Linked DNA regions of Tribolium castaneum. The protein of the gene in region 1 binds, or shares a complex with, the protein of each later gene. Links are inferred from orthologs where the notes say so. Each region holds a gene or a part of one and is shown in the gene's direction. Other genes may lie near its edges.

The links. Proteins that work in one complex are often made in the same cells at the same time.
Region 2: Csl4 (region 1) and exosome complex component RRP43 share a complex: the UniProt entries of both Homo sapiens proteins name them as parts of the RNA exosome core complex. The link is inferred for Tribolium castaneum from reciprocal best matches to the Homo sapiens genes EXOSC1 and EXOSC8.

The regions. Positions count from the first base shown.
Region 1 is NC_087401.1:17,299,463-17,302,561, reverse strand, and holds Csl4 (exosome complex component CSL4), read left to right. Parts: upstream 1-1,604; 5' UTR 1,605-1,691; intron 1,692-1,747; 5' UTR 1,748-1,904; coding exon 1,905-2,495; 3' UTR 2,496-2,551; downstream 2,552-3,099. Other genes in the region: protein HGH1 homolog, read right to left, coding at 264-1,264, 1,311-1,398. UniProt on the Homo sapiens protein: Non-catalytic component of the RNA exosome complex which has 3'->5' exoribonuclease activity and participates in a multitude of cellular RNA processing and degradation events.
Region 2 is NC_087402.1:7,981,998-7,985,353, forward strand, and holds exosome complex component RRP43, read left to right. Parts: upstream 1-1,640; 5' UTR 1,641-1,768; coding exon 1,769-1,785; intron 1,786-1,838; coding exon 1,839-2,013; intron 2,014-2,057; coding exon 2,058-2,352; intron 2,353-2,398; coding exon 2,399-2,519; intron 2,520-2,566; coding exon 2,567-2,774; 3' UTR 2,775-2,844; downstream 2,845-3,356. Other genes in the region: CycA (G2/mitotic-specific cyclin-A), read right to left, coding at 653-1,087, 1,143-1,289. UniProt on the Homo sapiens protein: Non-catalytic component of the RNA exosome complex which has 3'->5' exoribonuclease activity and participates in a multitude of cellular RNA processing and degradation events.

The DNA.
Region 1 (3,099 bases):
AAAATCTAGTTTTTTTTTTCATGTTTTTATTAAACTAGAACAGAAAAATCACCAAATTTGGTCAAAAATGAATGAAAAGTTACCGTTTCTAAACAAAAACTCAAATATTGCGCAAAATTTCTAAATAATTTAATTGTTATGGAAACGGCCAGAACAACAGTGACAACTGTTAATACAGTGAAACTTCTGTCACCCGAACTAATTCGTCCGAAATTATATATTTTTGAAATATATAGAAAGACGAAATTTAATTGTAAAAAAATTTATTCATCTTTTAAAAACTGCTCATCCGCTTTATTGAAGTCTTCGCTTAAACTTTGGGGCACTTTAAGTGTCTTCAAATCATCTTCTCCAATTTCCTCCTCGGTGCGTATCAAAATATCGACCAAATTTTCACACGCTAAAAGCACCTTTCTGTCCTTTTCCCACTTGTGCAACTCGCGCAAAATCACATAAGTGTTTCTCTCTCTGATAAATTCTCGATTTTTTCTCTTGGCACATAACTGGGTCAAAGCCTCCAGTAACATGCACCTGATATCTGGATCTTCTTCACGCTGTTTCTCCTCCGGGAGATATTGCAGTTCAAGGGGGAGCTTGTCGTTGTCTTCGTCGTCAAATTCCTCGTTTCCGGCCAGGGGGCGGAGCAGCCGGGGCAAGATATCGACATGGGGGCCCAAGAGCAGCTCATGACACTCGGGGTCAAATGTGCAGTTACGCAGGGCCCCCACGACGCCCCCGCGCCTCACGGCCGACTCCTCGAATTCAATGAAAGGCACGAGTTTGTGGATCCGGTCCAGGAAGCGTCTCCGGACGCGCCCACTTTGCGACAAGTTCGAAAAAAGGGGGCTCAAGTAGTGGAGGTTAGCCCCCGCTTTATTGTACTGTTTTTTCGTGAAAATGTCAATCAAATCGTCCAAACTTGCGCTTTTCTCAAGCGCATCAATCACTTTATCGTGATTGGCCCGAGATAAGTTCGATAAAATCATGCAGGAAAAATCGGCGATTTTACTCATGGGGTCCGTCACGAATTTAACAACAGTCGAAGTAATGTCACTCGGGGGGCTCTGTAAAGGGGGGCACCCCACACTCGTGTCCAAATCAAGCAATGCCAGGGCCCCCTTGTGATCAGCAGAGACATTAACAAGGCAAAGTGCCGAGTCTTTGACAATTGTGGCGTTATTATCACTCAAAAGTGTGATTAAGGAGACCAGAAGTGACGGTGTGTTGATTAATGTGGCAATTCCGTCCGCATTCCCCGTCAAACCTACAAAAAAATTACAAAAAACAAGTCTAACCTCGAACCCTATTACCCAAAATGTGCCCCAAAGCCACCGATTTGAGGTCCAAACGGGCCCCCAGATGCACAAACTGCAACAATTCGGCCACGGAATCACCCATTATCAGGCTAAAGCCCCCAAAAAAAAACAAAACACGAGGGGTGACAGCTGTCAAAAAAGTGGGGTTAGGTGGCAAAAAATCATTCTAATAAGTAAGGCATTATTTTTTTAGGTTTATCTCTACGTTGTATGTATATACAGGGTGTAATGAGTAGTTAAATAAACATAACATAAACCAGTTTATTTAATTCTGTAGCCAAATTAATGGTCGTAATTGGTAATTAATGTTAATTAATGAATGAGAAAGTAAAATTTTGCAAATTCGTTTTTTGACAATTGACAGTGACACTTGACGTAACCTCAAAAAAATCAAAAATTTCGTTTTTGTGCTGATTTTTCGCATGTTATAGCTCCTTGTGTGCCTTTGATTGGCTTTGAACGTCGTCTGCCGTGATAATAATATTGACAGTAAAAGGAACACGCAGTTTTTGAAATTTCTTCATGTCAATTGACATTTGACTTAACCTCAAAAAAAATCAAAAATTTCGTTTTTTGTTGATTTTGGGCATGTCATCGCCCCTTGTGTGCCTCCCGGGGCAGCGGCTGTGCCTGTCGGACCCCTCGCACGTGTCCGGTCAAGGCACGTACGAGCGTGGGGGCTACATCTACGCCACCCTTGCCGGTGTTGTGGACATTGTCCCCAAAGACAACGTCCAGATCATTGAAGTGCGCAGTTCCGGGCAGGAAACGCTCGTGCCGTCACAGGGCGACATCGTCACAGCGCAAATTCACACAATCACGCAGCAGTTTTGCAAATGCTACATTAAGTGTGTCGGGGATAAGGTTTTGGGGCGGCAGTATCGCGGGATTTTGCGGAAGGAGGACGTGCGAGCGACGGAGAAGGACCGCGTGGAGATTTACAAGAGTTTCAGGCCCGGGGACGTGATTCTGGCGAGGGTTTTGCCGATCACGGAAGCTCACACTTATCAGTTGTCCACGGCTGAGAATGAGCTGGGGGTCGTGACGGCGCACTCGGAACATGGGGGGCTTATGGTGCCTGTGAGCTGGACGGAGATGCAGTGCTCCAAGACGTTTGTGAAGGAGGCCAGGAAGGTTGCAAGAGTTGTGCCAGAAAGCGTGCAAAATGATGTGAAATAATGTTCAATAAATTGTATTTTTGTTTATTTTAATAAACCCTTTTGCGTCCCTTAAAAGTGCAAAAAAGTTAATTGAACTATTAGAGATAACCCTATAAAGTTTATAATCGTTGGAAAGCTCTTTGGATTATCTATTTTTTTCAAAAATGATTATTGTTCTCCGACTAATAGTTTTCGAGAAAATTGCAAGCAAAAGCAAAAATTGGAAACATTAAAAAAATCATAACTAAAAAACTATCGGGAATTTGGCGATTTTCTCGATGTCAATCGATTTCCCGGATCATTTTGCATAGGTAAGGATCAAAATAGTTCCACTTTTTCGAATAGTTTAGCCGTAATTCGATAAAAATTGAAAAACTTAAAAAATCACGCTGCTTCCTGAAAAACGTGCTCAAAAAACTTAAAAATAAACGCAGGCGCGAAAATTTGAATTTGAACCTAATTCTTTAAATATCTCGGAAACTAAGCGTTGGGCGCAATTTTGTTCTATGAGAGAAAAGATGCAACTTGATGTAGTCTAAGCGACGGTCTGGTTGAAATTGTAATTTTCAATAGTCATTTTGCTATCTCTTTAAGGAGCCATAAAAGACCTACACATTTTTGTG
Region 2 (3,356 bases), on another chromosome or scaffold:
AGTAATTTTTCATTTTTTATTTACTCAATTACAGCAAAAGTATTCGAAAAATGGAACCACTTTGATACTCCAATGTAATATAATCCGAAGAATAGATTGACGTCGAGAAAACGGCCAAACTTGTAACAGTTTTGAAGTTATCTACAGAAATAATTTCTTTCTATTTTTGCATTTAGTAGCAATTTCTTCAGTCGCAGATAGAAAATAAAAAAAGCTTTTCAACGATCAATCTTAATAAGGTCGTGGAAAACAGTTCCGGAGTTATTGCCCGATAAATGCTCCGGGTATCGAAATCAACCAAAATTTTCGCAAAAATTGATAAATCTGATTTTATAAAACCGGTTCAATTGACGCTTTTGGCACATCTAAAGGCTCTAGAGAAAAGTCCACAAAAGATAGTTTTCAAGTTATAGGTAAAAATCGTAAATTGAAGTGTTCTCATGTTTTTAACATATCACAACGTAGAGTATGGAATATAATATACGAAATTAAAGCCATAATGAAATTTCCCGCCCCGAAAGTATTTCAAAAAAAGTCAAAGTTGTTAATAAAAAGGGCTTCAATCTGTTTTTTTTTTTTTAATTGAGAATAAATGTCAATGGATGTAAAAAAACTTGGAATAATTTTCTCGTCGTTCTTGAAGATACTTTACCTCATGTTCTTTGAGATAAGCAAAAATGCTATCCCTATACTCCTCCATTTCAAAAAAGACATCTCTAGCATTGGTATTTGTGGAAACCGTTTGCTCTTTGAGCTCAATGTTCTCCACATCTGATTTCTCAATGCTCATCGGAATCTCCGATTTTCTCTTAAGTTGAGGCGCAGTAATTTCCTTCAATTTCTCCAAATTCTTTTTCCTTTCAATTTCGGCAAGTTCTGTCTTCGTGATAAACCTGTCCTCGGCCGTCCCTTTATACACATTACTCTTACTGATAAGTTTGAGCCTTTCATCGATTCTCGCTCTGTATTCATCATCCTCATACACAGTAAACGCCTCAAACTGGGCCACCGGAACCACGACATTCTTCTTATTCTCGTTTTTTTGCCCATTTTCCACCCGGTTTCCCAAAACGGTTGGCTTCTTCGTCTGGCAAAAAAGCAAACGTTTTTCCCATCCAAAGTTACCTCCAACTGTTAATTACCTGTTTTCCTTTAAGGGCTGCGTTATTAACTTTATTACTGTCAATCTCGCCCAGAACGCCCCGTTTTTGCTGGGCAGTCGTTCCCGGTTTTCGGCGCAATTCCGGCACCCGGTTTTCCTGGTCCTGGTGAATTCTTATCGATGCCATTCCTCTAACACACGTGCAAGTTTCTAATACCCGAAAAACGAAAAGTTTGCTGAACCGAAGGCCAAACTGAACCCCAACTTAAACACCCAAGCTACCCCTAACCGACAAAACGACTGTTTTTAACGGCCAGATGCAAAGAGCGCAGAGTGCGGGAAACGAACAGCTGAGAGACCGTTGAAATGACAAACGGGACCAATGGGAGCCCAGATTTAAGCAACGTCACACGAGTGGGGATAACATGTTTTGAAGGGTTTAACGGAATTTTGCACTAAATCAAAAATCAATCGACAATACTTGTTCCCAACCAAATGCCCTATTTGCAAGCAAATGTCTTCATTACAAAAATTGCATTATTCAACCGAATTTACTCGTTTCAAATCAAACGTTTCCCCCACCGTTGTCGGCAACCAATCAAAACTAACGTCATTAATAATGTCAATTGTCAAAAACGAAAAACGTGGTTATAAACAAATTCAATAATGTCAGAACAATACAAGTAATAATTGTAGTACTGTGAATAAATAACAAGGTGATTATCCTATGTTTTAGGATTTTGCACCCCGTCAAGTACTTCCGCGACCACTTGGCCCACAAAATCCGACCTGATGGGCGCGAATTTGGGGAATATCGCCCCATCGTGGTCAATTTGGGCTCAATTTCGACAGCCGATGGGTCTGCGATTGCCAAAGTTGGTCGCACGACGGTAGTTTGCGGCATTAAAGCGGTGAGTGTAATTGGAGGCATTCAATTTGCTAAACCAAACCTTAGGAGTTGTGTCAGCCCAAGGCTGAGGCTGCAAACGAGGGGTTTTTGATCCCCAATGTGGAATTACCACCGTTGTGTTCGTCAAAATTTCGGCCAGGACCCCCAACTGAACAAGCCCAAGTAGCGACCCAGTTAGTTGCCGATATTTTAAAAAACTCTGATTGTTTAGACTTAAAAACGTTATGTATATTTCCAGACAAATTAGCTTGGTGTTTATATGCTGATTTAATTTGTTTGGATTTGGATGGGGCGTTGATAGACGCGTGTGTTGTTGCGTTAATGGCAGCGCTTAAGTCAGGTAAAGACAATATTGTTTTTTTGTGAAAAATATAATTGCGCTTCAGTTACTTTGCCAGCGGTTCAGTACGATCCAGCCCTTGACAACAAGCAAGTGAATGTGCAAGAGAGGAAAGCTCTTAGTGTTACCAACACTCCAATAGCAACAACGTTTGCAATGTTTGATGAGTAAGCTTATCATTGTTGTTGTAAACTTTTTAATTTTTTGATTGTAGTAAAATTCTCATAGACCCAACAGTGGATGAGGAGGACTTAAGTACGTCTTTGGTGACAATTGTGGTGAAGGAAGAAGAGTTGTGTTTTGTTCACAAGCCAGGTGGCTGTGTTTTTACGGAAGAGCAACTTTTAAAGTGTGTGGAAGAAAGTACAAAACGTGCAACTGTGATTGAGGAAATTATAGAAACAGCTTTTAAAAGTTTATAATAAAAACATTTTTTTTTATAAATGTATATCCTATATTATTTAAATAAAAATTTTAACAGGTTCCACAGTAGGTTGTGTGATCATTTAACCGAATTTAAAATTAAATCACCACACATTTATAAAAAAATCTATTGTCTTTGTTACAGGATTGAAAAAATAAAAATCGGGAAAAATCAACACTTTACATTTTAACGAGTATACATATTGGTATTGCCAAATATTCAACACGTGTCTGAATTTATGTACAAAAAATACGAAACATTGCAAATAATATACATTATTACAAAATACTACAACTCACCACATAATCACATATGATACAAATGTAGAGACTAAGGATGTTAGATATTTTTACAAAGTATTTTACACATTTCGTTCAAAAGGGAAATAAGTCTACTGTATGTACAGTTAAAAGTTTGCGCCTAGGACAGGAATGGTAGTAGAAAAATACCAGGAACAATAAATAATAGGGGTTTTAATAAAAATTTGTATATTTTAACAATGTGTAATTTTACATCGTTGATGTTTTATAAAGTATAACATTTTGTCCTCGTTTATGCCTGATATCTTAATACTACAAAT